4 linked regions of the Styela clava genome follow. The protein of the gene in region 1 binds, or shares a complex with, the protein of each later gene. Links are inferred from orthologs where the notes say so. Each region holds a gene or a part of one and is shown in the gene's direction. Other genes may lie near its edges.

Region 1 (7,660 bases):
CTCCATTTTCTATCCTGTATTTCCAGGCAGTAAATTCTCGGTTAAATGTGATTCAAGCGTATTCTTTTCACTAATTAGGTTTGCCTGTACCTTCAAGATCATCACTAACCTGTTAAACACACAAGGAATAAGACTAATCCACTTCTCAAAACGAATTTGAGTGTGGCTCCATGATACTGCACTGCTCAAGTCTGTGGCTCCATTTTCTATCCAGTATTTCCAGGCAATAAATTCTCGGTTAAATGTGATTCAAGCGTATTATTTTCACTAATAAGGTTTGTCTGTACCTTCAAGATCATTACTAACCTGTTGAACACACAAAAAATAGGACTAATCCACTTTTCATACCAGAATTTGAGTGTGGCTCCGTATTACTGCATAGCACCATGGCCTGGCCTGGCCCCGATTTCTCCGTGGCCCGGCCTCAATTTCTCTGTGGCCTGGCCCAAATTTCTCCGTGGCCTGGCCCCAATTTCTCCGTGGCCTGGCCCCATTTCAGTGGCCTGGCCCCATTTCAGTGGCCTGGCCCCAAAGCCACAAAAAAGTGATCACTCCCTCTCAAATTTTAACACAATCAGATACTACGAACAAATCTAGTTGTTACTCGTTTAAAAAATATTGTTTTAGTGGTCATCTCAAACTATTTTATCTCATGTTAATTTCCTTCCAAAGAATTCAATGACCTAACTGAACTTTGGACAGCCAAAATCAGTAATTCACTTCACAGCGAGTCATAAACAAAATTTCAAAATCAGAAACACATCTTTAAACATTCAAAATTAAGGATGAAGATAATGCTATGTGAAAAAATTGACAGATGTCTAGTTGCTATGTTAATTCTCATCTTGATTTACCAATTTAAAACGATTTTTCCAACGCATATAGATAGGCCTACCGCTTTATAGAATACTGTCTTTCACTTGAAACCCATTATCATATAACCATAGAATAAAAGACGCAGACAAACAATTATTGTAAAAAATGGTGATTCTGATATCTGGAGATGAAACACAATATTGCTATTCAGTCATGGATTAAAAAATTGTCAGTGTGAGCAAGCAAAGAATTGCACAAAAGGCGCAATAAATTACATAATATAATATTGGCAGATTTAAAAATGAAATGAGGTGATCCTACTTGTAAATTAACACTGGTAGTTAATACAAGATAGTCAATCATTAAATCGATACTGCTATGCTTAATATTGGCAAGAATATTAGAAGCAACAAAAATATTGATACGGATTGACCATATTTGGAAAGTTTTCGTTCCTTTGATGTTAATTGTGCATTGCACTACTTCAACTGCAGTTATAATAAAATATGATACTAGACAAAATGGTAAGCAGACTAGAATGATTGCAAAACATGACCGTATGATAACTTACATATGATGAATGTTTGAAATTAATTTCACTAAAAATACTGATTCACACACAATTATTACTGTTTAATTTCGGCAAGTTACAACGCCTGAAAACCTTGGAAAGTCTTTGAAATATTATTCACATTTGCCAAATCAAAACACATAACCAAGTATTAGAATTTTTGTGCAGCATTGGGACAATTTACACACACAATATCATAATAAAATGTACAAATTTAGAGATAAGTTTGAATTGTTTTGAGTCGCAAAATTTGATGTAAAATGCAGGGCATATCATGGTATTGAATCTGTTTGCACAAGCAGAGGATTGTGAGGATATCAATGTAGTAGGTGCCTGCTTTCTTCTGGCAGTTGGGTGGAAACCGAACCCTACCTACTCGCTAAAAACATCAAAAGTCACAACTTAGCTTTGGAAGCTAATGGTGGCTATATCCACCTCCACCACCGTGGTATCCACCCCCTCCACCACCATATCCGCCTCTTCCACCACCATACCCGCCACCGCCGCCTCCTCCATAACCACTGCGATATCCGCCACCACCACCATCATATCTATCACCCCCACCATATCCATCGTTGCGGCCACCTCCATACCCACGATCGTTGTTTCTACCTCCTCCACCGTAGCCACCACCGCCCCGTCTATCATCACCATAGTCGCCTTTGTCCTTGTTTTCCAATGCCCATTTCAAGTCTGGTCTCACAGACTTCGCCTTCAGCCCCCTCTCTTCGCTGTAATATTCAACTTCGCATGGCTGGTCTTGTATAAGCGTCCTTCGGCCTTTCATATCAATTGTGCTATGGTGAACGAAAACATCCGTATTATTTTCTTGATCTATACATATAAAACCGTATCCTTTGTCGTCATTAAAGAATCTAACTACTCCCTGCGCGGTTTTGGCATCACCAGACATATTTTTAGATAAAAAAAAGCGGATCAATCGAAGAATGGACCGATTGACGGAAAAGAGTTTTTGCGTTCTATTTGTCACGTGGCTGTTTTTAAAGTCGTACTAAAACCCGGAAAAAAAAGATGTTGAAATTATTTCAAATTTAATTAGTTTTAATTAGATACCTCGTTAAGATTTTTTAATGAAAATAAAATGATAATGTAAATTTAATAGTATACAAAAGAGAAATACCAATAAGACAATCCAATCGAATTGCGGACCGATAATTTCAGCCTAGCTACCAGTCCAGTTTGGATATAAAAAGAGTCCACTACAGTAGTTCTTTTAGACGTAGAAACTTAAATTTTTTTAGTTTTTTATTACTTTTATAAAACAAAAACAATATGTTTTCATATCGCAAGATTTCATTTTGCGATAAAACGTCAGACGATAGAAGGTCATGGATCATCACGTGATTAATCTTAACCAATGAAATGGCGGGCTATACCTTGTGCCATATTCTTGAGATCGGGCCGTCCCTGTGTGTGGTAGATGCCTTCTCGTGGTACTGTGGTACGAAACGCTTTCTCAATTTACTATTATCTTTACTGAATATGACAGGTTGTAAACGAGTTATGAATTGATTGAAAAACGTTGAATATTATTATCTTATGTAACATTAGAACATTTGTGTAGTTAACTATATTTTTCACTACTAAGGATTTAGGATCGGATTTACTTTAAACTGTTGGAAAGAAAAAATAGACTGACTAGTACAGTGTAGTATGATGTAAGGTGCGGTGCCTGTATTATAGACGCCACAGAGCTTGTAAAAATCCCCACTAAAATCCTATTCCTCCAGCTGATCAGTATTCAATTGTATGAAAACTTCAGTCAGTCACTGATTACAGGATTACCTACTGAATTCACACAGTCTGGCAGTGCAGTAACTTCTGAAAAATTAGGTCTGGAAGAGGATATATAAAGTTATTGTTTGTTTCAAAATACTTAACTTAGATATATTATTTTTGGTTTCGATTTTTGTTTGTTTGCCTGTTTAATTTTGTTTTTGTTCGCTCAATGCTGTTTAATATTTTGAATATATGTATGTGTGTTGAATGTGGGTAAACTGGCGCATGTATATTTACATGTATTAAACCTTTATAAAGGTTTTGCCAGTTTACCCGATTTTCTCAATCTTCTGTGTGTTCATTGTTTATGTTTTGTGTATGCTTTTTTTGCGGGAAAATCAAAATATACTTATACTTATTATCGAAACAAGCATGGTGCCCGACGCCTTCGTTTAAGAGACAAAAACAGTGTTTCATTGAACCAAATGCCGGGACATCTCGGAATTGGAGAATTGTGCCCTACTGCAGTACTGTATTTGGATATACAAAACAAATGCTCCATTTTTCAAGAAAATGATAATAGGGTGTAACATGAGTGAAAATCTCAAAAAGCAAGTGTTTGTCTGTAAGGCACGGGTCTTCTATTCCAAGATGTGTCTCAGTAAAACAAGCACTCTATTCTGCTATTTGTCGCTGGAACAAGGGCACCGGTTCTCACTACTTACTGAATAGAGCGCGAAACAGCGCAGAAGAGAGGGAAAGAGCCCAGGAGAGAGGGAAAGAGCGCAGGAGAGATGGGAACATTTTTCTTTCATTATTTATTAACAGTCGTGAAATTTTAAACAATTTGATGGGAAACACTATATAGTGGTAGGGAATGATCACGAGTTTATATCAGTAATCTTCAACATCTTTAAATAACCAAACATGACGCACCCTAACCTGGTACACATACTGTGTTCAGGTTGTGCGTCATCTTGATGCACATACTTCATGACGCACCCTAACCTGGTACACATACTGTGTATACTCGTGATCATTCCCTACTACTGTATGCTGCTTCCCATCAAATTGTTTAAAATTTCATAGACACTAATAAATAACAAAAGAAAAATGTTTCCATCTCTTCTGCGCTGTTTCGCGCTCTTTCCCTCTCTTCTGCGCTCTATTCAGTAAGTAGTGAGACCGAAGGGCATCTGGCATGGCGGCAGATCATGCCCTTTTTGTCTCGATAATAATGTATTTTCTTTCGGAGAATATGATCATTTTTCCCCGAGGAATCCAATGGTGACATTTTAGATTGCACTTTTTAGTTTATTGCTCAGTGCTGATTTGTCCCGATATGGAGCCCCAAACTATTTCGTAAATGAGGGGGTTGCATTCACTGTTATAATCGATGTCTGCTATTCTCAGGATCGGAGAATTGTGCAGTACTGGATTCGAGTCGTTTCACTACCCTTTGCAAAATATAAATTATGACAAATTCAAATCTTATTATCTACTATATATTTCCAGGTTCATATTATTATAAATTATTGTTTATCCTAGCATTTGTGGCGATAAATATTATCGACATTGTAACTGATTTGTAGCTAAGTACTTTGTTTAGCTTAGCTGCACGATGGCGGATATTCCCAACACAGGGGGTGGTAAGATCCGTTCAAGACGTGCAGCTTCGTCCAGGAAACCATACAGCCGAGCTTCATCTCAGAAAAAGGTTATTTAACTCCTGTTTGTTTGTACAGGCATTCTAGACCTTTAAAATTAATTGAGTTGCGAAAAGCTTTATAATAATAAGAAAATCAATTATTGCAAACTCCTTCAAAATAAATTTTTGTACATTTTAAATACTAGTTTATACTGGGAGTTTCAATATGGCATACTATAATATGTTCGTGCGACGACTTTGTCTAGGGTGCATATAAAATAAATTCTTTGAAGGTTAGTAACTTAATCGTATCATGTTCTCTCTTTCTAGACTTTATTCAGTCGTGTTACGGATACATTCAAAAATCTTTTGAATCCTTTTACGCCAAAATGGCTCACGAATCGAATGAACCATGAAACAGATGATCAAGGATCTCCTTCAACAAGGCAAAATCAAGGTATGAAAAAATCGTTCTAATGTGACTATTTTCGTTCCCAATTCTGGTGATCTGACTATTCATGGAATGTACATTTTCGAGAAATAGGTTGATTTTACTTTAGTCAAAAATGGATTATCTGAAGATGGCCCTTATTTGATTGTGGATAGATAATAGATGGCTCTTTTTGCCTTATGATTCATTTCAGATTCTTGGCTGAAAATTTTCCTTTCAACCATTCAATATTTTGCCCTTTTCTCACATTTTTTTATATTACAGTTGATCGTGATGATCGTCCTTCGACCTCCTCTAATCACCAGGAAACACACAGTTGTACCAATTCCAATCGGGGATCACCTATACAACCACGACCACCTTTGTTCTCTTCGAAAATATCATCGTCGTCTGTGCAGTGTTTTGTAACTCCACCTGACGTAAGTGCCGAAGTTTTAATTAATTACTAAGCATATAGGCATATATTTTGTGATTAACTGCGCCGAAATGAAACAGCCGTAGCCACATGTCTTATGGGTTACTTACTACACCAGTGGTTTCCAAATTGTGTGTTATGGCACACTGTTGCTGTTTGAGATAATTTTGAGTTTCTCACAAAATATAAATCCATTTTTTGAAAAAATTCGACCAATCAAATTATACATTGGTGTACCATAAAATGTATGTGATTCATACTGTGTGTCCTTTGTATTTTTCATGCTTGATTTTCTAATTTTGGTTAGGTCATATAATTCATTTTAATGCTGAATCATTTCAGTATGGTTTCCTTTATAATATTCAGGAAATACCGTAAATAAAGAACATAATCCCAATATGCTAATGCTAAAAATACTATACATATTATGGAAAAATGAAAAAATTCTAAATTTATCATATTTACAAGAATGTGATACTATTATTTTGATTAAAAATTTTCCATCATTGTCATTACACTAAATTGTGTCTATCTGTATGGCATTTTGGTACAATGATCTGTTTTTTGAGAACTGGTCAATCTATTATTCTAGCCTAGCTCGGTCTATTACTAAAAATCTGAGTGAATTTGGAGTTACACGAAACTGACAAGGATCTTTCCTAATCTGGTAGTTCTTTATTTTTGAATGGCTGCTTATACAGAACTCTGTTAGAGTGGAACGTGTAAAAATAATGATTTGGTATGATACAAATCGTATAATCCTACTTTTTGGATAGGGATATTGCTGCCCAGCTCAAATTAATTTTGCCTATGATGATCAGCCTACATTGTTTGATACTCGTATTTAGTTTTTAAATACGAGTATAATGATTTTTTATTTAACGTAATATCTGAGGCAATAATTTCGGTTTAGTTTCTTTTTTTTTAGAATTCTGCACTCGCGATATACGCCATTGCTTTCTTATTATCTAATTCACTTCATTTCACAGACGCCGCCTGTTTCTCAGCAAAATCTCACTCCCTCAGCATCTACCTCACTCTCGCGGAGTGGCGGTAGTAGAAAAGCAGGAAAAGAGGACCTTTTAAAGCATCTTAACACCATGAGCAGCAAACGAGTGAAAATTGATTCAGAATCTCCAATCGAAAGCGAATCTTCTTTTTTGAGAAAAGAAATGAAATATCTTTCTGCTAATGGTATATATGAATTTTTTTTTTTTTTTTTTATGAAATTTTCAAATTATTATTGCAGATATATCAGGCCTGGAGAATCCTGTACTTTTTCCATGCCTGATATTATTACCCAAAAAAGACATTTTTTTAAGAATTAATTTAATAGTTTTCAACCTTTTTCCCCAAAATTTTCAGTAATATCATGATTTGTCAATTTTTTTATGGAATGATTTTTTTTTATAAAACCGTATCATTTGGTTTAGGCTCGTAATACAAAACAGAATTCTGAAATCCTAACGATATAATCAAGAGTATCTCTATCATTTCTGCAGCGAACAGTTTTTACTGGAAACTAATTTTGAATAATGGAAACTGTCACTATTATAATATTTTACCAATGTATTTTCAATCATTCAATTTAGCCTGTATACAGGCTTGAAACTTGCTAGAATTTAATAGGCTCGGCTAAGATAGACGGATAGTCAATGCTGAAACTTACAAACGATTGCACTTCGTAGCATGGAATGTTATGTTGACGAAAACCTTATAAAATCATTTTATTATAGAATTCACATTGACCAAATTTTCTTAATTTTCCAGACAATGCATCAGTGGCCTCATCGAGTGGTTGTTCTTCATCAATGCAAGCTAGTCAAAGAACAAACACTTCAGGTACATTGAGTTTCATTAGCGGGAAATAAGTGTATATAATAGATCGTTTTGCAAAAAAAAAATTTATTTTTTCAAAACTAATGGGCCGATTTGTTTTAAATTTTCAGTAGTAGAAAGAAGGTGATTGAAGCCTCTAGAAATTTTTTTTTTCTCAATTTTCTTCTGTATTCGGAAATA
Region 2 (7,980 bases), on another chromosome or scaffold:
TACACCTACCGTACCTTGTTTTTCCGAAAATAAGACTTTTCTCCAAGTGCAGTTTTAAGTATTCTATGGCGTCTGCAGCAGCCGCAAAACCATGGCGGTATTTCCATACCATGGCCGCTACGGCCGAACCTATGGCGACTGACTTTTTAGCTGCCACAAACCAATGTCGAGCTGCCGTTACCGCGGCAGCAAATTGAAAACCAATGGCAGGTAAAATTTTGCTGCCGTAACCGCGGCAGGTGGGTCGTAAGGACAGGGCTGTCCCTTATGGTGACAAATATTGGGTAAGTTGGAACGTTTTTCTTATGGATACAGTCTTGATGGATTTGGGGTTAGGGTTAGGGTTTAAGTAAATATAATTCCGCATGATCAATTAGAATTTGGTACATTAGTTTGTGAATATACCGTTAATACTGATTACTGAATACAGAATAGCGCTATAAAACCATGGCAAGAGCTGCCGCGGTTCGTTTGTGGCAGGAGCTGCCATGGAGTGGTAAGAACTGCGCCTCCTTTTCTCCCCGATAAATAACTCTGTGGCTTGGGGTTTTATTCAAAATAACTGCATTTAAAACGTGTTGGAGAGATTTTTGGCTATCGACAAGGTAAAAGCCCCTATTATCTGCTTATAAGTCTCCGTACCGCTAATATCTGAATATTGATTATGTGGTAGGTCAGGTATTAATATAAATTTTTGTGGAATGTTTTCACTCAAAAGTGCACCCATATCTAGAATTAGATTTATTACTGAAAATGACTTCTGTGTAGTTTGAGGTTTGGGGTCGCGACCCCTGGTTTGGGAACCCCTGGTATAGTGTATTTGTATATCATAAATAGTAGATAAATAATAATTGGAAAACTTGTTTTCACATGCTTTATCTTAGCAATCCGCTATTTCATATTTGTACATAGAAATAGAAAGTAGATATATCTGTATATTCATAAGCGAACCACTGTGCTGTTCGATTCTGTAATCCATTTGCACTGGTCTGCAAAGCCAAATCTGCTTTTTTTGGTTTTGCGAGTCAAATACGATAACCAGTACTTTTCAATAATGTATGTCTGGGGTCTCTACTTTGGAGGGCCACATTATGTCAGCGCAACTTCGCAGTGATGTAATTTTCGAGTGACGTAGTCAGTACTGCAGTTGAAGGTTGGCAATGACTAGGGCTGTCCAAAATCGAATATTTTTTTGATTCGAATCGAATATTTTTGTCGAATTGAACCGAATAATTGAATATTATTGCGCAGTCCTAAATCTGTTTCTATTATTCAATAAAAACTCCCTCTCGATATTGTGATAACTTATGTCCAGTTAAATCTAATTTACTGCTGATATTTTGCATAACTATGTTTTTAGAGTTATAAAAGGAGATCCCCTGCCTCTATAAACTGGTCCAAATAGAGGTCTCCAAAATCAGGATTTTGAAAACTGTTGAGTGTTAAGGCTGAACTCTCAATACCTTATTTACTCAATTCTAATGGATTCAGTTTTAACAGAACATGCAAATCCTGTAGATGCTATTTTAATCCTATTATCATTACTCTTATGTTTTTTTTTGTGTGTGTTATTTCCTGCAAAATGATAACAACCATTAATATAGATAATACTGTTGTTCAAGAAATTCGAAGTTGCATATAAGGAGATCACAAATTCAGAGCTAGTTTGATGACTATAACATTGTTACTGTACAACAGCCATCAAAATGCAAGAGTTCAATGTCTTGGTAAATGGATGGAAAATACATATACAAATTATAAAGTATTGCCATCATGAGAAATTACACATTCTGTTTCTAAAAGGTATTGCCATCAAAGATGGCCAATACCGAATAGTTCACTATTTCGAATACATTCGAAATTATTTTTTTCGAATATGAAATTTCGAATACTTCGAAAATAAAATCCACTAATTGAAGCTTATCTAAATGTATGTAGGAATTTCCATACAATAAGCAATGGAATAACTGCTATCAACAAGTTACAACCTAGCTATATATATTACCAGGCATTTCATATTTGCAGATTATTGCAGTATATATTTTATATATATACCATGAATCATGTTAACAGAATTAAATTAATACGACAATAGTGGTATCGATGATGGATTTGAATATTTGCGCAACACAAAATCATCCTAGTAAAACGCTCATACTTTTAAATACCAACCATTATCCAAATTATTTGCCAAAAAGCGGGATAAAGTATGAGTTATTTTTCCGACTGGTGACAATTTTTCGTGAGTACAAAAATACGAATCAAAAATTAATTATATTCAGGAACTTTACCACACATTTTAAGTTCGCAGATCACCGTTGTATGTTCGAGTAATAATACTTTTATTATTTCATAAATATGAAAATAGGAATCAAAAACTATTTATATTCGGGTAGTTTACCACACATTCTAAGTCCACAGATCGCCGTTGTATTTTGTAAATACGATAATGGGAATCAAAAATTAATATTAATCGCGAGTTTGCCACACAATTTATGTCCACAGATGGCAGAGATATTGTGCCGAATACAATTAGTTTTTGATAACGAAAAAATTGTCACAAGTCGGAAAAAGAATTTTATACTTTATCCCGCTCTTGGGAACTAATTTGGATAATGGCTGCCATTGGTTTGTATTTAAAAGGTATGCATATTTTTACCAGGATGATTTTGTGCTGCGCAAAATATTCGAATCAATGGCCGATACCACTATTCAAAATGCCTTACCGTGTTAATTTAATTCTATCATCATAACTCAAAAGTTGACAAATCGGGCAGTTTACCACACATTTTAAGGCCACAGATCGCCGTTGCATTTTACAATTATATATAATAGTTTTATTATTTTCTAAATACGAATCCGAAATTGATTATAATTGGGCAGTTTACCACGTATTTCATGTCCACAAATACCAGTGGTATTTGGTACTAATACTTTCATTATTTTATCAATATAAAAATAGAAATCAATATTTAATAATATCGGTCAGTTTACCACACATTTTATGTCCACAGATTGTCGATACAACCATGTGTTACGATAAGCAGAATTAAATTAATACGACATGACATTTTAAATGCTGGTACCAGTCATGGATTGGATTATTTTGCGCAACAAAGAATCATCCTGGTAAAAGATCGATACTTTTAACCATCGTTATCAGAATTATTTGCCAGAAATTATTTTCTAATGAATCGACTTGTTTTTCCAACTTGTCACAATTTATTGGATATCGTAACAATGACGGCTATAAATACCGTATTTCCCGGCTAAATAAGTCCACTTGGCAAATAGGACGATGTCTATTTTTAACACTCAAAAAATGGGTTTTTCCATATAGGCCTCCAATAAGACGGGTAGAAAAATTGTGTCCCTGTTGTTCAGTTGTGCTTATACGCGCTAACAATTTTATATGTTCAGAACCAGATCATGTTAGTTCGGTAGAATCATACTCACAGAATTAACTATTTTTAACAATTGAGCGGTAAATTTAAGTTGTAAAGCGTCAATCATTTTGGACAACCTATTAACCCGAAAGTTGAAATAATTTTGAAATGTGATAAGTACTACACTGTACGTCCACGGGTTATTTCACAGCTGTGTTTTCCTGTCCCTGTCGTGTTCTGCTGAATCGGCAAAACGAAAGGGTCACAAATCACTTTATCTCGGTGGCCGTGTTTCTCTTTAAAGTAACGATAACCGGTCTGCGATTAAATATCATGTAATACGGTAATTGTCAATTTTTCGAGGTAATGGAAATGAATTTGTAAATTGAAAGCCTCGTAGACGAATGTCGGCAATGTCCACCCACGCAAACGTGCAAATGTGTCGCAACACTTTGCGACGTACGGTCGCACAGAATCCAAATAATCAAAGTGAGGATTCTATTTCATCGTCATTACAATACGTGAGACAGCTTAAAAAGTCGTTTGAAGATTCCCGTGAAACGAAACACCACGTTTACGGCGAAAAGTGGCTATTATTCGGAATTATTCGAAAATGAGCTGAAAAGGTATTCGAATACTTTGATATTCGAATACATTCGAATATTCGATTCGTTTTGGACAACCCTGTTTTGCCATCATAAAGAACCCGCAATACCTGTTTCAGCTTTAAGTCACTTGTACCATGTTCCTATGATTAATAACTGGACAGCTGCAAATTGATTCTATTTATAGAACTATCTTTTTTCTATCTGATACTTATATTGCCTTTTTCACCCTATGTACTCTCTATCAAAATCGTCATGAATGATAATAACATTTAGGTTATGACCATGCTTGAAATAACTAATCACATGCCACTGGGCATTAGGAGAGACACATTTTTATCGTAATATGACATGTAAGAAATATCGGGAAACCAATTATGCCAGGGGCGAAGGTTGTCTAAGCTCGAAGCGCCGCTGCTTGAACGATGAAAAATTTTATGTACCTAATTTTTAGCGATTTGAAAATTAGCCGTAAAACGATTCGAATAATTTGCGATTCGATTTCGAATATTCGGTTCGCATGGACAGCCCCAGCAATGACATATGCAAAAAATTGATGAGCCAGGCCTACTTAGGTACTTGTGGGCATATACTTCAGGAGACTACAGGGGTGGTGACTCCACTACGACCCATGGGCCGGGGCCACGGCCCATCTAATTGAGCCACATGAGCCGTGGCCCATCAAGCTATGGGCCGCGGCCCCGTCAGGAAAAATTCAATTATCTTACCAAAATTTTCAATTTTTACAAAATTGTCAATATTCGAACCAAAAAATAAACTCCTGTAGTATGTGTACCAGGTTAGAGTTAGGGCATAATTTTGTTCAGATTTGTTACATTATAGTTCTATTATGAGTTTGGGGACTGTCTGTGTTAGCCAAGTGAATAGTTTACCTTTACACAACTTGATGGGCCGTGGCCCATAGCCTGATGGGCCGTGGCCCCGGCCCATGGGCCGAAGAGGAGTCACCACTTCCACTCTCAGGAGAACCTATTTCTGTATTAAAGTATTACTGTATTAGGTGATAACAATATCAAAATATTTTAATCAAAACTGTGAAAGAAAAAAGTTCAATAGTTTGAGATTGAAAAGTCTGGAAGTCTCTGCCCGTTCTTGTGTTTCTCCACGTTTTTTAGTGTGACAGTTCAAGTGAACAATAATTTCTTCACAAGCCATTAATCATATAAATGTAGAGATGTTTGGTCAGAAGTCAGGATTCGGATCTTCAGGTTTTGGCTCAGGAGGTAAGTTAATTATGTCACAAATCCACAGGTTTATTGATATAATTACCTGCTCGCACAATAGACTATGCTCGAAGAGCAGTGCACTGCTTGTGTAGCTACTACCCATTCCTGTATTCTATATGGCATTTCAATAACATCCTTAGATGGTATCTAATAATATAGCCATATTTAAGTACACTGATTTCAGCTCTCTAATTACAAGAATAGCCCCCATAATGAAAGACATCAAATATAGCAGTAAGTGCAATTCCTGCCTTTGCGAGACAGTTTTTGGCCTCCCTATCGGCAAAAATGCGCAAACCGGCACTGTTCTATAAACTAAAAACAAGTGCAATCGAAAAACATTATCATTAAATTCTTCAAAAAAAATTTTACAGTAGCATTAGAGAATTCTTATGCAAAAAAAACGCATTTCGTGGCAATGGCGACTATAATTAATTAAGATAATTATCAGATAAACATGGCATATCTGCCATTGTGCCAGACTCTTTGTTTTATTGAAGCAAATGTTAGGACACCTTGGAATCAGAAAACTGTGCCCTACTCTATTTATACCTCAGGATTCAAAACTCATAGTTCCTAACAGCTGATATTTGGTTATTATGCTTTCAAATTATTAAGCATGTGCATTACCATGCTGTCTTGCCCAGATTATTTATTGCAGTATATTTCGAATTTAGGGTTTGGAACCAATAATTCAGGTTTTGGAAGTACAAGCACATCTGGAGGGCTATTTGGAAATAAATCAACTACATCAGGTGGCTTGTTTGGCACAAGCACGCCAGCATTTGGGGCAAATAAAACCGGTATAAAATTTTTTACTGTATTATGATACACTTCAAAAAGTCTAATAATTTTGTTGAGCATGCTGTCTCAAACTAAGCACACTCAAGTGCTGTAATGGCAGCCATTTATTATATCTTCAATCAATGTATAAAACTATAGGACCATTTTCGATCACTTCTTTTTATAATTGCTTGAGCGCATGAATTTACCAGTATTGTTTTGATCTGTTTATATGTATCTTGATTCACTGTATCACATTGTCACCAATGCCAAATCAATGTAGTTTTCATGGTTTTTGACCCTTCTCGTCACCTTATCACATTACAAATACACACATTATCTATGTACCAGATTGAATTGGTCCTTATTAGCTTGAGTATTTTAAAATTAAACAACAGCCCGAAAGTTCATTACATTCGCGGATTTTGTGTGTTTATTTCTTGCCCAAGCCTTGTTCAACAAAGTTTGTGTTTTTTTGTAAATGCGTGTTGGTGAGCGGGCACATGATACTCATCTTATTTTAAACTTTTTTAAAGGTTTTGCTCGCTCTCCGGAATTCTTCATTTTTTATTCGTTTGTATTGTCAGATTGTGGAGTTTTCGAAATAAAACTATCTATCTGTCTTCTTTATTAGTCTATTGTATTCGACTAATGAAATTGGTAAAATGCTAATGTATCGCCTATTCCTCGAAATTCTTATTAAAGAAACTTTGTGAAGTGATAATTTGACAATAGTTAGGAGGATATCAGCTTTTTCCATAAAGTTTTTCCATAAAATATTTTTCATACTTTGGCAAAGCATTATTATGTTATACATATTAGAGAGGTGCTGGTTATTAAAGAGGGGGGAAAAGTGATCATAACACAGACACCTCAGCATTCGGGAATAATCAATCTGTTTCTATTTCACCAGGCTTCACTTTTGGAGGAGCTAGTCAGTCTTCTACAAGTAGTGGGTTGTTTGGAACTCCAACATCTAGCAAACCTGGAGGTTTGTTTGGAACACCGGCAGCTACAGGTGGAACAAGTGCATTTGGTGGTAATTCTGCTTTTGGAAGTACAAGTTCAGCTTTCGGCCAGCAAAAAACTGGAGGATTGTTTGGTAGCACAGGTGGAACATCCTCATTTGGATCCACAACTACTGGAGGGGGCCTTTTTGGTACGTTATCCATAATACTTGTAAAGTTTTATATGTAAATGATAATTTTAACACATGAATGACTGTGAGTCTGTCACCTCATCTTGTACTTGTAGATCAAATTTTAAATTTGACTTTGACTTGAAGTTCCTGTTTCATCTAGTTCAGTGGTTCCCAACCGCCGGTGCTTTTTTGCCAGTTTAAACCAGAAAACGGTCAAAAACAGTATTTCAGCAAGATATGAACTTGTTGCGACCCTGCAGGTGGTCATGTGACACGCAAAAAAAAAAGGCCACAAAGATCTTTTCCAGTATTTTAAGCCTGGTGCAAAGTTACCGACAACTTTGTCATTGTAATGTAAATTCATTTTGTTTGAGGCGTCGATCAACCGCAGAACTAGGTATTGCAGAAACTTCTTTGAGCCCAGCAGCAAAGTGCTCACTAGAGTTAATTGCGTTTGTACATGATTAAGCATGTACTTGTTCTTTTTATATGTGATGTTTTATAAGTGCCTTCCTCAGGCATAATGGATGCCCAGCACTGCATTTCATTACTCAAATATATGATTTTATTTTATGTTTCACCCATTTCAATTTTTGGGCCGCATATTATTTGATAGTTTTTCTTCGTGTGAAATGTTTTTAAGTGTGACTATTTTGTCTAGAAGCATATTGATTTTAATTTTACTGGCCCGCCAGGGTAGAACTGTTAGGAACCACTGATCTAGTTATCTTAATCTTATGTGAAACTCAAACTGTTTGTTTTTGGTTGATAGGATTTTCATCTGCTCAACAGCAAAATGGCACAGGAGCGGTTAAGTT
Region 3 (7,702 bases), on another chromosome or scaffold:
TTCAAAGCATTTTGGTGGTAAGATAAAGATGCTTTAAAATCGATCAGCTGCACTTGGAAGTCTTCGATGTCCATCCATTCAAATACAAATAAGTTTAAGTCTTCGGTGCACTCGGGCTTGATGAGAAAAGAAAACAATGAATCAAATTGCTTAAAATCTCGAAATCTATTGGAAAACTGAAACGTTAGAGCCCCCATGTACCTCAATTGTATATCAATTTCAATTATATCAGAGAGAGAGAGATTTATTATTTGTCAACCAGAAAAACAAGTATTGCAACAGTAATAAAAATATACAATAATAAAGATGTTCGGTATAGACCGGGAGGAGCGATAAGACCATACGGTCATCAGAGTCAGCTCCCCCCATATTCACTATTTTATATTATGTATAATATTTTTTGCTTCCAGAGGGATGTCACAGTAATATATAAGAAGACAAGTGAATGATAAATAAAAAAGTAAATATTTATAATAGCAGTGGCGGCGCGTGGTCATTTTGACAACCGGGGCAAGCTACTGCGGGACCAAGTCACCCCCATCTACGGGGACAGGATGAGCGCTGTAAGTTCTCTCATCATTTTATGAGTATAAAAACCATTCCATCGGTAACAACCAATCGGCAAAAGCGACAATTTTTAACGATAAGAAAGTGTCTTTAAAACCGGTCCAAGTCAAGGGATTAATAAATATAGACATAGTTTATTTTGAAACCTATTTCAAAAGGAAAGGCAATATTTACCCAGATAAATACAATGACATATTAACAGAAACTTCGGGAAAGCAGACAAAACCTAAAATAAGGTTTAAAACGTTACTATGGAGAAAGGAAAGTTAATGCAAAGATAAGGACATGCGTCGCTCACTCATAGATATATATGCTGCTAGACTTCTACTGCTTGAACATATATGCAACACGCCGCGATTTCTTGGAAGCAAAATGCTCAATAACGCGTTGATTAAAGTCATGCATCTCAGAAATAACGTCTCTGTGAATGGATAAACAGCCAAGGAATTTAATCTATCTTGCTTCATTGTGTTTCTGAGATACGTTTTAATACGCTTCAACGTGCTGAATGTTCGCTCTGCGTCGGCGGAAGAAATAGGCGTCGTCAAAATGATGTCCAGAAATTTTGCAGACGCCGCAAAGGTAGTTACTAGAGTGTTATCTATGAGGAACCCATAAAGCGCGCAAGTTGATGTGATGTTCAAAAAAGTTTGATTGGTGTATATACATCGCAATTCATTTACCAATTTACCCACGTTTATCATGGGGTAAAATTTGGAGACAGTAGCCAACAAATGGATGGGAAATTGACGTGCAAATTTTGAAAAATTTTTGGGGTTCATCAAAGAGAACGCGGCAAGGTGTTCAGTGCGCAGACGATCGCCTATTTGATTCACCAGAATGTCACAGCATTCCTTTGCAGACAAAATCAAACGCTGCGTTGTTTGCCCGCGGCGTAAAGAAGCACTCCATGTGTCGTCGTATTTTATTGTATCCCGGATACGAGATACAGCATCGCAGAAGTTTGAAATACACGACTGCACAGACGCTCCATCCATTAGCCTTGACTGCAATGCGCCGTATAATACATCCACGTGATAGAATATTGTGGAGAAAAAAGCGAGAAAAAATGAAAACTCACCATCTTCTAGCAGACGCTTTAGACCTGCCGCCTCCCTCACAGAGCGTTCGTCCCAAACCGGAGAGCTCTGAATGCCATTGAAACACTCAATGAGCTCAGACCTAATTTCGGACACGCCCTGCACCACGCGTGATTGGAAGTTCCAACGTGTTGGTGCACAAGCTGGGAGACGGCGGCTACATATCTGGCGAAGGAGGTCAGAGCGCTTCGGCGAAACGGAAAAAAAATGAAGAAAACCCCGAAACATTTGCAAAAAATATACGGACGAGAGGGGTATCAAGACACATATTTTTAATAACGAGGTTAAATTGGTGTGCATAACAATGTAAAAAATGCGCATGAGGAAAATCTTCTTTTATATAAACTTGAACACCATGTTTCGACCCACTCATGACTGCCGCGCCGTCATAAGTTTGAGCTATCAATTTTGACTTCGCGTTGTAAGGCTGTAACACTTCTTTCAGTACAGCCGATATCTCGCAAGCCGTGCCATCAACGATTGGTACAAAGCTGTGAAATCTCTCGGTAGGTTTACCATCTTTCGCAAACCGAAAAATCACAGCCAGTTGGGAAACGCACATGATGTCAGTTGTCTCGTCAGACTGAATCGAAAGGAACTGGCAATTCTCAATTTCCAGAGCCAAATGTTGTAAATAAATTTTTAAACATTGAGTCGAGCTTTTTCATTATTGGTCAGTCCCTTATCAATTTTTATAATCCATATTGCCCACATATAGAGGCAGATGTCCCAGATTCGTATGGACTCAACGTAGGAAGAGAATGTAGCATTTTTCATCAGTATATACAATAATAATGATTTGGGACGTATAGATGCAAGTTTAAACGCAGAAAATTGGATGCAGCAATTCATATCAACATATACAATAGTTATGATATGGGATATAAATCCTTTAGATTGGATTAATAATATAAATGCAAGTTTGGTTTAACATAGAAAATGAATGCAGCAATTCATATCAACAATGAACGCACGCCTTCAACCTACAGCATAAATTGTTTAATTTTATAGGCCAGAACTAAACAATAAATTCAGGAGAATAACAACTTGATGGTCGATTGAAAAGGCCTTCAGGTGTTTGAAGTATCGAAAAGTTGCATTCTGGATGTCCCGTGTTTAGACATCCAGTCTAGATACAAATCCTTTCTATGCCTCAAAAAGACCCAACACCGTTTGCCCTGGACCCGGCAGACGAAGATTGAGTTCGCTAAGATGCGTGGTGATATCCGCGAGAAACATTAGTTTTACAAGCCAGTTTTCGTCCTCCAGTTCAGGGTAAGCCTTTCCTTGCCCTATCAAAAAGGCTCTTGTCTCAACTCGACATTCGATAAACTTCACGAGAACCTCACCGAGACTTAACCATCTGACACTGCTTCAGTGTTGTTGATCTGATGCACATCATGGTATGCACATTCCATCTCTTCAAGAAAAAATCGAAACTGTCTGTGTGTTGTAGCAGAGCGGGCGACCCTTACCACGATCAATCAACGATGAGCCACGCTGCCGCGCTATGTCCTTACTAAAATGGATATGTCCTTTCTAAAATCGCTATCTTCCTACTAAAATGGCCATTTTCCTACTGAAATAGCGTTGCACCTACTAAAATGGCTATATCCGCTACTGGTATGCCTCTACTAAAATAGCCTTGTTCTTTCTAGACCGCAATTCCGGTTTGCTTCTATTAAAACAGGGATGTCCTTACTAAAAATGCACGTACGCTATGTTCTTTCTATATGAACGTTTGTTCCTTCTAAATTGCGATTCCGATATGTTCCTACTAAAATGGCTATGTACGCTATGTCACAACTAAAATGGCTATGTTCCCTCTAAATCTAAATTCACGACCCCGATATGTCCCTACTAAATTGGCTATGTTCTTTTCGAAAAAAAAAATCCGCCATGTCCCTACAAAAATGGCATTGTGCGCTATGTCACTACTAAAATAACGATTTCCGCCCTTTACTTACTAGAATGGCTATGTCCGCTATGTCCCTATGAAATGGCTTTGTTCCTTCTGAAATGGCGATCCCGATATGTTCCTAGTTCCTACTAAAATGTCCGCTATGTTCCTATTAAAGTGATAAGAAGAACCCAATATTATCATGTTATTGAATTTGTCAAGTGAGAAAGATAGTATCACACTTTTTATGAAATCTTTCTGGAAGACAAAATTGCTTCCGATTTGCGTGTTTTTTTATTTGAGGAATAATATGACCACGTCAATATGGAAGAATATTACCTTATCGTCTTATTGATTTGATTGTAACGATGTGATAACGTTAGTACTCATTTGATGTTACTTGATTAAGGCGATGAATAGTGTGGCATTGGAACTTGAAACCCTAGTAGATTGAAACATTACTTACATTTTGTGGAATGACGTTATGTCAATATTGTTGTTCATATACGTACTATTGTTAAATCTAATTTCGCAAACCGGTGAGGATCTGAAAACTTGACGTTTCTGGCGTTTGTTTTTCTTTCAACGTCGAACGAATGGCCGTCGTGACAACGAGACATTTGTACGATTGGACTTTCTAAAACGGTTCAATCGGTTGATCAAACATGGTCTAGCAATTGATGAATGATAAAAGCAATTGTATTACATCGTCAGTTGTAAATATTAATTTGATATTGCGCTAACCCGTAAAAATGAAAGTTCACTTGAGAATTCATCAACAACTCTAGCGCGGGGCGGGTGCGCGCCAACCCGAATTTTATGAGAGTCTTTCTACTTATCTTAGAATTGGATTGTACGTTAAAACGTTAAAAAAGCAGTGCCAAGATAACGATTTTTGTTGTTGTGGAATGTGGATTGACCCAGAAATCCTTGTACTCAAACTTGGTCCTGAATATGTGAAAGGCCGCGACCGTGACTTGTTATTTATTTACACGCCGTTGATAATGCCACGCAGTGTTCCCATTGCGCTGTTGTAATGCAACCTCACTGTTCGTAATGCGATGTTCCTAATGCGCTACTCGTATGCTCAATTCTGCAGTTCTAGAAGTTTGCACTCAGTGTTGTATTATTACCGGTACCGTTTGTTTATAATCTTAGTTAATATTTCCTTACATATGATATTCCAGTATTTTGAAACGCACTTAATTTGACAGAAACTTAACTTACTTTAAAAATGACTGAAGAGGAAGAAGAAAATTTCCCACCAGAAATACAGAGACTTGTAAGTAGATGCTTAACTGTTTATAAGATGATAGATTGAATAAGTCGATTTATATTCAATTGTAGTCTATAAGTTGCAATGTCATATTACTGTTCTGTAACATGGAAAACTTGATACAAAATGTTTAATGATCTGTGATAGTCTACTGAGCGATATCGTATGAAAACTTCAATTTTAATGACCCTCAAATGATCACTAATATACTGATATAGCGCTTTTTGAAACAAACTGAAGTCGCTGGTTTTATCGCCACAATTCAGTATGGCTCAGATTCCAAGAATAGCCCTCGCATTAAAAGACATGAATTATAACAGTGAGTGCAAACCCTTTATATTGCGAGACAGTCTGGGCCTTCATACAGTCATATCGCCACAACTCAACTGCTCAATAAACTAAAAGGAAGCGCAATCTAAAAACGTCACATTTGATTCCTCTGAAAAAAATAATCCGATTCGATTCACCAAAGGAAAAATTTTTTGACCGAGGCGTGCCAAAAGCCCTCTTTTTAGCGACAAATGGAGAGTTTGTTTTATTGAACCAAAGTGTTGGGGCATCTTGAAATCAGAGAACTGTGCTCCTTGGTACCTCTGGTCTTTGTATCTCCATTTCTTGTAGGCCTAGTTTTATTGTTTTGTTTTTTATGCCAGAGCGATTAAAATTGAATTGAATATATCAAACTATTAAATGACGGTAGGCCTATAGTTTCTCTCAATAATATATAATTGAGATAACTTTTTTATTGCACAAATTATCATTTCAGCCAACTGAATTTTCATTTCGTGAACTGACAAACTTGAAAGCTTTTGTATCAGAAAGCCAACCTGAATATGCCACAACACGCACTGGCCTTCTTGCTGTTGCTAACATCTATGGATATGTCTTTATTGGAATGCCTGATGGCTTGAAGGTAGCTCATGTTGATTTCTGTGATGAATGATAAACATTGATGAAATAGTAAAATTTATTTATCTATGGAATATGTTTGCTTTTGTATCGGACTCAATTAAATGCTTGTAACGCACCTATGTTTATGCTGTCAATATTGGATAAATACCATAGTAAATTCCTCTGTATTATATTCTGGACTGTTAAGTTTAAACCAAACTTCAAACTCTTGGACATTAAAAAAGGAATTAGGATGTCAAAAGGACTTCAGCTTTCGATTCCAATATGAAGGAAAATTTGTCTCCCCTTGATGAGAAAAAATTTGGCTTATGCAAGCTTTCTTGTATTATATGTCGAGACGACTCAACTCCAGATTCCGACTCAAGGGAGGTATAAAATTAGACCCAAGCTCAGACTCCAATATCAATAAAAGCATCCCAAGCCGCCTGAATTCACAACCCTAAAATAGCTAAATGTTATTCACTATTTAGGTGCTGACCTCTGCTGACTTGCTTGAAGCTGGAAAGAAGAATTTGAATGTAATTGACTCAGCTGTTGCGACAATTGATCTGAGAAATCCACCAAACTGGATTGGAATAAACTCTGATAATCTCACTCTCTCTGTGTGCTGTAAAACTAGTAAAGGACCACAGATATTATTTTTTGATATCAGGAATATTATCAACAAGGTAAAATGAAATAAAGAAAATACTCTGATAGCATTGTTGTACATTAATATACAATGCAAAACAAAATGATATTATATTTTGATATCAGGAATATTATAAAGGCAAAACATAAATCAAGAAAAAACTTAGATGTTCATTTGTATACAAAAATGATGGTCGTATCGGAATATGGCAATACATTGCCCTCGTGGTTGAAACGTTAGACTCAACTGTGTTGGCATCGCAGATTACACATATCAGGTTTAATTTCTGAGCTTCCCACCACTCCCCAGTGTAATATAGTAGGGCCCACGATGCCGACTCGAAAACATTTCGGATCCTTCCAAATGAAACTTCTTGCATATCGTGAGATATCAGTGGCCGTTTGTATATTACCTTGTTCAGAGGGAAAAATGTGAATCAGCAGTCTTTTTAAAATTCATATTCTGGTAGATGCTAATTTGTTAATGTCTAGTTACCAAAGTGGTGTTAGGAGAGATTTTGTGCAGAAGAGATATTCTCTTAACGAATTTATATAAATACTTTTGCTTTTTAATATAAATTTATATTATGATTGTTATTTCTAAAGTAGCAGGCATTCACTCATTAGAATTTACCTTATTTTTTTAATTTTTATGATAAAATGTACTCAAAGCTCAGAAGTAATAAAGACACATCAGCAAAGTTAACTGAAATGCTGAGGGCTACTGAAAAAATATAGAATAATGGTGGTGCTTATGATCAAGAAAATGTTGATTGACATAAGACTTGAAGTACTTAGTGGTCAATACAATCAGTAATACAGCTATGAGATAATGTTTTTTACATAAAGGAAGTTCTTACTACATACTGATCTTGTATGCACCACCGATCAGAGTTATGCGAGAATAAGCCGACCCCTTTTTTCAGCAACTTTTGAGTTTCAAACTCTGATTATATGCGAGGATATATGGTAAATAAATTTAATATTGTCCATATTCTGGGCTTACACCGAATTACAGTTCTCATTTTCTATCTCTTACAGTCAAAACCTACCAAGACTCCATTTCATAGTATATATTTGAACAAGGATCCAAACTCATATGTGGTTAGTATGCAATGGAATCCTTCACCTGTTTGGCCAAATCTCCTTGCTATGTAAGTAATGTAATATTTTTATTTATTCTGTTTTGTTAAAAAACATAATTTGAGCATATATTTTGACCAGTCTATTTGATTATTATGTTATTTAAATCACACTTTCATATTAATTATAATTTTAGATTGTTTATAATTTTTTAATCAACAATGTCGTGCTTTT
Region 4 (8,014 bases), on another chromosome or scaffold:
ACTGATCTATTCTAGACAATTCAAGCATTGCTTTGGGAAATAATATCACTTCAATTAAATTTGCCGTATTAAATACGAAATCGTTGCTATCATAAAGGTAAACCAATTCAGCCACTGGGAATATATTGGCCTTCACAAAGCAATGGGGGCAAAATTGAGAGTTCATGGGCTATGAACTTTTGTTCTTTTCTTTGTCTTGAATTTTTTATACTCCACAGCCCCTATTAATTTTTTTTTAAATTTCAATTACCATGTGATGGTCATACATATCTTTAACTTGTATTTTCTGTAATGATGTATTATCTCAATGTGTCAAACTCTTAATTAGTCTGCATATTTTGCTTCCAGATGACATAAATGTATTGTCTTGTTCATTACCTCAGCTTGGAGTATTGACAAGAAAAAGGTGCCAGTAAATTCTTTGTTATAATCAGAATTCACAATTAATAGGAATTATAAACAGCCACCAATCAATGAGAATTACATGCGAAATTCCTCACAATAAATTTGTCTAATAATGTCTAATAAATTCACCTACTAAAGCAAGTTCGATAGGTGCAAACTTTGTGTTATGGAATTGTATCACAGCATCGTTAAGAGAAGTAAAAACAGTTTTGCTGTTTTGTATGACACCCTCTTTAAATGAAATTTCAATGTTTAAGCGCAAACTTTAAAATTACTAACTTTGAACTTTGTCATTATCTGCAAAATGTCCCACACAAATCTTTACTCTATCGCGTTTGTAATCTTCTCTGATAAAAAAAAGTCTATGATGTCCAGAATTACTCTTTACAGCTTGTATGTCATTCCAGCTTTCCAAGTGAGCAAAACTTCTTAGATATAGAGATTATTTTCTTTCGTTACAGGCGCAAAAAGGCAGGTACTAAACGTAAAGAGGACGCCGGTTAGCAAAAGCAAGCGGAAAACGGTCGCGAAAGGCGACGAGAAATATGTGCATTGGAGCGTATCATGAAATACAATCTTTCGCATGTAGTCTTATGGAGTGACGTCAGAGTTGCCTATCATGTTGTTTAATGTCATTGCTCAGACAGATTTTCAAGCGTGGTCGTAAACATTACCTCGTTTTTGAACTCTCATCGTTGGTTTTCAGTTTTGTTTCGGAAACTTAAATATAAATCAGATAATTCAATGATCACTCTGTCTTCCTAGGAGTTTTAATTTAATTGCAGTATGGAAAAATTAGTGTAGAAATAGCTGTGAAAGACTAGGCTAAATTTCTTCACCGGTACTTTTAAAAAACGGATTGTTGTATGCGATGAATCGTAATGATGGGTTGAAAAACACACCCCATTTTACAGGCGTCAACTCGCAGAAGCACTCTTAAAATAGCCCCGAAAATTTTGCAATGGTAAAGTACAGGAAGAATTTTTCGGTGATCAAAGGTCGGGGGAAGGTCCATATCTTGAGCGCGACAAATTGACCGTTAGGTGAAGCCAAGGGTGAAGCTATGATAAAACAAGGGAAATCCCCACTGTTTTCGCGCGCGTGTGGGTCACTGGAATGGACGTGGCATCTGGTTACCGTTTCCCTAGAAAACTTTCCCTCATTCAGGTTTTACAGTTGTCCCTTTCGAGCTGAAGTAATGATACTGGACATGTATTGAGGTAGTGACTGAGTCAACACGATATTAATGATTCAAAACTTCATGCTGCTTTTCAAACATGTAGCCTATTTATTTATCTGTCTTGCACATTTGATAGTTTTTTGGTGATTTTTTGCATTTCTGACAGCAAGCGATACCGGTATCTCCCATAAATTTTGACTTGTATATTTCTATGCTATATAGGAATCTCAGACTCAAAATTTACAGAATTCGAGAGAGATCAGCTTTATTTATATATATTTACTGCAAGGCTAATCCCAGAATCCTGGCGATTTCTCAGCTACCATAATCGTATAAGAACATTTGAAACATTTATCAGAAACGGAGGAGGTGGTTGGGATTCTATTACATTTAGTTTTATCTACTTGAATCTTGCTGTCTTATTTCAAGCGCAACTCTTATTTTACTCCATGTAAATTATTCACTGATTCAAACAATTATTTGGCTTTTATCATTTTAAATTGAGTTATAAGCACTGCCCGATTTTGAATCGTGTCCATATTTTTTGTATACTCGTATTATTCCTATTTTATTTTTTGGTGGGTGGGCTCGTACTTGTACGTTTTTTAACTTTATTTTAAGTTATGCTCGCCTTCCAGGTATCTCTGTATTTGTTGTCTGTTTACTTTTTTGTATTGTCCCGTTTTAGTCAGAGAGCCGAAATAAAATGATTGATTGATTGATTCTAGTGATAAACTCTCACTTCATCTTCATAATCATTTTTTTTTTTTTTGCAATTATTTTATTGTTATGCTGATTATGGAGTTGAAATGAAGGGTCTAGTATAGTTTAATACCACAAATACTTCCGGTGGACGTATTATAACGAATTTTGCATATGTTATTCCTAACCCCCACCTGACTATGCCATCCAAAAATTACGTCACTATCACGCCATAGGGCCTGACAAAGTAAAATTCCCATCGCCCGAAATGGCATCAGCGCCAACTCGCCAACGCTGACAATCTCTCTCCTATCGTGATCGTTGTGACGAGAAACGAGAGAAATGGTTGCTCGATTTTGGATGATTGTCTGCGCGCTTTGGACAACCATCCGCATACTTTGGTGGGCCTTATTACAGCACTGTGACGTCGGAATGACGTATTTTTTCAATGGCGTAGTCAGGTGGGGGTTAGGATTGACATATGCAAAAATTGTTGAGCCAGGCCAAGTAGAAGTACATGTGGTACTGAACTATACCAGACCCGAAATACCTATACTTATCTGATTGCTTTTAGTTTAATGCACTACTGACCACTGTTCATAGTTTTCATTAATTTCCGGATATTGATTTAGACTACTTTTCAACTTAATTCATAGTTAGCTAAGCTTTACTCGCCAAACTCACCCAAGTAGGCCTATTTGTTTGTAGATTTTGTATTTCTGTTCTGAATATTCTAATATTGCAGTAGTCATTGATTGATTTATTCTGATCCAGTCCGGATTTTATGGCGTTTTCCATGAGAAATACAGAAATTGGGCATGCAATCAGTGACTAGTTTCAGAGTTTAAGAACCACACCACTCTCCGACTTTCAGTACCCATCGTCTGTAATATACACTGCTGACAAATTCGAATAGGTCCTATTATAAACTGCCTAATTATTGATAACACGTATCTTTCATCATCTTCCCACAAGCTCACCAAAACCCATGTCAATTAACAACTATACGAGTCTATCCTCCAAACACAAGTTTTTTTGTAACCTGTATCTCGATACTCACAATTGTACATTAACACAGAACTTTCTGATGAACTTGGTCGCTGATTAATTGATCTTTGACCTTTGCGAATGCAATGTCGCAGCCGGTTTTCGAAGCTTGAACCTCTGTCGGCCAAAGCAGTAGTCCAGTCCTTTTTACAAATAAGCCTACTCTTTCAGTCTCAGATGTTCAGCGTGTGTGGTCTCTGATTGTAAATGTTAAACTATTTTTTTATATCCAACATCTGAACATAGGCTATGCAAAAAGCTGTAATGAACATTGAAAGTAGGTAAATTCAAACATGTTTACTTGACTAAACCCAAATTCTAGTTTTTTATTACAGATGCACTAATAAAAACTATTTCTGCATCATGCTTCAGATAAAATACTTCCAAACCAGCATATTTTAATTTTGTAAATAGCTGAAAATGAATAAAAAACATGAAAAGTTTCTCTTGATATAGTTCTATCATTTTTTGTTTGATTATTAGACTCATGGTTTTTGATTCTCACTATTTGAATATTCATGATCTTGGTATGGTGGTAATTTTTAAAACAATTTCGCTTTGATCATCCTGATCTTCTTTCGTTTCATATGCTCAGTTATAGTGTCTATAAATTTGTACTTCATAACCATAAACCAATCATAATAAATCATGTCTGATGTACAAAGCGAAAATGTAACTGCCACCATTGCTCCTGAGAAGAAAGTGGATGAACATGTTGAAGAAAAAGTTGAGAAGACGGAGGAACTGACTGCAGATTCTCAAAGTGATGGGGAAGAAGAGGAATTTGCAGAAACTAACTTTGAAGCAGACGATAATTCTGAAGATTTTATTCCTAATGAAGAAGTTGACGAAAATGAGGAAGAAGATTCTTGCTCAAGTGGAGAAGAAGAAGTTGGGGTCGATGTAAAATTAATTGAACTCGGAGGTCAGAAGTTCCTCCAACTAAAATATGAGAATGATGAACAGCGGCGAAAGGAATTACAAGCTAAAATGAAAGCAGAAGATAGTGAAAATGAAGAAGAAGAAGAAGTCAGTAATGAAAAGCAGGAGGACAAAGATTCTGATAAAAAAGAAGGTAAAGATTCTTTCAAATACTACAGAACAGCTACAATATTAGATGAAGATATGGATAAGGAATATAAATCTGACGAAGATGAATATTTCGACCCCATGGAAGGGGGTACCCTCACTGATATTGAGTATTCCAGTGGAGATGAGAGAGACACTGAAAGTGAACCGGAAACTGAAACATTAGAAGGAAAACACAAGAAAACTGGTGAAGCATTGACGTGTATTAAAATGATTGAACAACTTCAAATTCCACCTCGTGACCAGACCTGTTTACCAACAGAATTTGCTAGTGCTCAAGTTTCTGATCAGCCAATGGAATGCTCATAAGTTGTATGTGTACTGAGAATCAAAAAAATTATTAGAACTTAAAAGGTGTTACCCCTGACTCTTGGACAACATTGGACACAACTGATTATTTCATATCATTTTGTTGCTAAGGTCAATTCTATATGTTTTGTACTTGAATATTTGGCCACTTTCTTTCTGGTATTTTGATATGCCCAGTTGTTGTTCCATCACTGCTTTATTTCTCTCACTGCCGATTTTCATTCTAAGACTGTGCCTTTTTCACTATCGTAAGTTTTTCATTATTTTCGGTTATTTCAGAACATAGATTTAAATATTAATTGTTATTGGGACACTTCAAAATTCTTCAAACATTTTTTCAAAACATGGATGAAAGGAATGGATCATATATTGGTAGTCGTAGGTAAGCGAATAAATTGTTGCCAATGTTTTTTTCACACCTATATTATTTTTATTACTTCAATAATAAAATTTACTTCAATGTTGGTGATTGTTCAGTTTTTACTTATCGATCTTAAGATCGTTAAGTATGTTGATAGGTATTTGTCTGTCCGTATGTTTGTTTGTCTGTTAGATGAACGCGATATCTCACGAAGGCGAGGTTGAATCTGCTCCAAATTGCATGTGCATTCATCATACCTCGGACCAGAAGCCTATTGATTTTGGATGAATTATGTCCTATAATTAGCGAGTTATTAATTAATTAGTGATGGGACACGCTGTGTCACTATAGAGTCGTGAATCGAAACCGCATTTTCGATTGATAAGTCTTCGGTCTCCGACCGATATTCTCGTTTGTGCATTAAGTGCTCTGTTGGACAGACATGCCAGCAAGATATAATAGCCCTTTTTTGATACGTCTTCCAAGTAATTTCCTAAAATTGAAAATAAGTTTCTTCCTAAGGTGTTCAATATTCTGTGATAGTCTCGGTATCCTAAATGCATATGCTTATCTCTTATGTTTCAGAACTCGAGGTTTGAACGCAAGTGGATTGATTAATTCACCATCAACAATGAGAGACGCAAGAAGTATGCAAAGAAGATCAAGGATGACACCACAACAATATCAAAGTATTTTCAGAATATAATTTTTTAAAACTTGATTATGAGGTATTCCTCTTCACTCCCCTCTATATCAGATTTTTTGTCATCCTTTGGTAAAAAATTAAGCAGCACTAGGTGTATTACTGAACCAAAGTAATAAATGCAAATCAGATATAACAAGTATCTTCAGATATACAGTCAACATTAGTTTCTTTCATGATTTGTTGTGGACTGGGTGGCTATCCCATTTTTGGTGGATAAAAGAGGAAAACTTTGGAGTGTGCTTACTTGGCATATAAATGCTTGCTTAATTATAAACTTAATACAAGTTTTAACTTTCAGGTCTTCAACAACTGGATGAGAGTATAGTTCAAGAGAATCCTGCGTTTCTTGAAGCAATTACTCCAATTTCTGGACCTAGCTCAAATAGCCGAGGTATTTCTATGAGATGAATTGAATTGAATAATATTAAATTATTCTTCAGGTCGCTACTTCTATATTGGCATTTTATAATTTGCTAGACTTTGTTATTAAGTTTTGGAAACCATACACATTGTAACTAGCCACAAAATTATGCCAAATTATAATCTCTAATCTACTTGTTTCTAAGGGTATAATCATGATAAGGGTTGTGTGCACATTTACATAGAATTATCTTAAAAAAATTTGTTTATCATCTATCATCAATTTGCAAGCTATTCTATGTGATTCAAGAACATGTTGCACATTAGCACTCTTACATTATGGAGATACTAATCTATTAGCTCAATAAAAGTAGGATAAGTAAGTAATCAGTTTCACAGAAACCCGAAGAATAGAACTTTTGTTGTCTTGAATCTAGTTCACTTAAAAATAAAGTTTGAATGCTTGCAGGAATGACAAATTATGATTTTACCAGTCAGCAATTTCCTAGAACAATGATGGCCAGACAAGAAGCAGAATATTCCATGGTGAGATTATGTGTATGTGACTTTCTAAAGCATATCGACGCATGAAATCCAAATTGGGCTAAGTCCATTTTTCTAGTTTTGAGAAAAACGTTTTTTTTTTTGTTTCATTTTTTTATTTCTCTAATACCTTACATTGAGGATGTCTAGTTTTTATGGTCCACCAAAGTTACAATGAAGGCCATATTTAGATGGTATAAAAAAATTTGTGCTCCGCCCCAATTTTTTTTGGGGTTTTTTTTTGGACTTAACCCTTTTTGGCTCTCAATTTTCTGGACCAAAAACAATTTTATTGGACTTAGGGCCCCTTTATTATGTTATTATAGAGGCTGGTATGGACTTAGCGCTTTGTATTATATTTTTTGAGAGGAGCTATGTCCAAAAAACGGACTTAGCGCTTTGTATTATATTTTTTGAGAGGAGCTATGTCCAAAAAACGGACTTAGCCCCAACTTACAATGCAGTTATCCAGAGCTAAGTCCACTATAGTAGACACAGGTCTGTTTAGTTCTCAAATGCCCTAAAAAAAGCAGGGTTATGTCCATAGCTGTCTTGAGATCTAGAGCACCTAGAGATAAGGCAAATAGACCAAAATGTAGAGCTAAGTCCAGGAAAATCAGCAATTGAAAAATGTCATTTTTTGGAAAAGTGGACTTAGCACTGTTTGGTTTTGAGGTGTCGATATTTTTGCGTATCTGTTTGTAAATTATACCAAACTTTTCCAACTCATTTTCTTCTAATATTTATTGATTAAACCAAATCCCATCTTGGCTGAGAAGTGCAAACTGAGTGAAATATATATTTTTTTCAATTGCTGTAGTATATCATACTAATTTGTCTAAAGTAAATTCGGCATTTTACAGTTCACAAATTGTGAGTAGTTTGGTCTTCAAAATTTACCAGTAAATATTTTTGTTATGTTGACATATGTATATGCAAGAACCTAATTAACCCAATCGTGTAATTTGGTACTATCATTAATAATAATATTTGTTGTTATGCTTCTTTCAATTGAAAACTAATATAAATCAGTTAATTTGAAATGTTCCCCTTTGGAATAAATTCTTTCTTTTGTTATTTGGTTAAATTTATAGCATTTTGACACATGGCTAATAGTCTTGTACAAGATTTCTGTTATATTTCATCATCTGTAGTTTCTGTACAGAAAAATTCTGAAGAATATTAATATTCAAGAGTTATTTTTAGCTTGACATTTCTGATGAAAATTTCGAACTTGATGCAACGAGAAATCTTCTTGAACCTAAAACTCCATCTGGCTTCACTCAACATATGACAACATTACAGTGTATTC

Evidence for each region.
Region 2: uncharacterized protein LOC120333756 (region 1) and nuclear pore complex protein Nup98-Nup96-like share a complex: the UniProt entries of both Drosophila melanogaster proteins name them as parts of the nuclear pore complex. The link is inferred for Styela clava from reciprocal best matches to the Drosophila melanogaster genes Nup153 and Nup98-96.
Region 3: uncharacterized protein LOC120333756 (region 1) and nuclear pore complex protein Nup214-like share a complex: the UniProt entries of both Drosophila melanogaster proteins name them as parts of the nuclear pore complex. The link is inferred for Styela clava from reciprocal best matches to the Drosophila melanogaster genes Nup153 and Nup214.
Region 4: uncharacterized protein LOC120333756 (region 1) and nuclear pore complex protein Nup107-like share a complex: the UniProt entries of both Drosophila melanogaster proteins name them as parts of the nuclear pore complex. The link is inferred for Styela clava from reciprocal best matches to the Drosophila melanogaster genes Nup153 and Nup107.

What each region holds. Positions count from the first base shown.
Region 1 is NC_135264.1:10,611,577-10,619,236, reverse strand, and holds the start of uncharacterized protein LOC120333756, read left to right. Parts: upstream 1-4,646; 5' UTR 4,647-4,748; coding exon 4,749-4,844; intron 4,845-5,105; coding exon 5,106-5,232; intron 5,233-5,490; coding exon 5,491-5,645; intron 5,646-6,630; coding exon 6,631-6,835; intron 6,836-7,411; coding exon 7,412-7,483; intron 7,484-7,660. UniProt on the Drosophila melanogaster protein: Component of the nuclear pore complex (NPC), a complex required for the trafficking across the nuclear envelope. Functions as a scaffolding element in the nuclear phase of the NPC.
Region 2 is NC_135250.1:14,540,222-14,548,201, forward strand, and holds the start of nuclear pore complex protein Nup98-Nup96-like, read left to right. Parts: upstream 1-4,978; 5' UTR 4,979-5,186; coding exon 5,187-5,235; intron 5,236-5,915; coding exon 5,916-6,041; intron 6,042-6,934; coding exon 6,935-7,180; intron 7,181-7,934; coding exon 7,935-7,980. UniProt on the Drosophila melanogaster protein: Part of the nuclear pore complex (NPC). Required for MAD import as part of the Nup107-160 complex and required for nuclear export of Moe probably via its association with Rae1. Plays a role in nuclear mRNA export.
Region 3 is NC_135255.1:11,062,810-11,070,511, forward strand, and holds the start of nuclear pore complex protein Nup214-like, read left to right. Parts: upstream 1-4,690; 5' UTR 4,691-4,801; coding exon 4,802-4,849; intron 4,850-5,609; coding exon 5,610-5,756; intron 5,757-6,225; coding exon 6,226-6,423; intron 6,424-7,426; coding exon 7,427-7,539; intron 7,540-7,702. UniProt on the Drosophila melanogaster protein: Part of the nuclear pore complex. Serves as a docking site in the receptor-mediated import of substrates across the nuclear pore complex including emb, RanGAP and phosphorylated Mad. Protects mbo/Nup88 from proteasomal degradation at the nuclear pore.
Region 4 is NC_135258.1:21,257,819-21,265,832, reverse strand, and holds the start of nuclear pore complex protein Nup107-like, read left to right. Parts: upstream 1-5,006; 5' UTR 5,007-5,076; coding exon 5,077-5,114; intron 5,115-5,678; coding exon 5,679-5,782; intron 5,783-6,097; coding exon 6,098-6,190; intron 6,191-6,628; coding exon 6,629-6,705; intron 6,706-7,908; coding exon 7,909-8,014. Other genes in the region: uncharacterized protein LOC144427178, read left to right, coding at 3,983-4,732. UniProt on the Drosophila melanogaster protein: Plays a role in nuclear pore complex (NPC) assembly and maintenance. Required for nuclear import of Mad. Mediates the association between the nuclear pore complex and a subset of active chromatin regions adjacent to lamin-associated domains.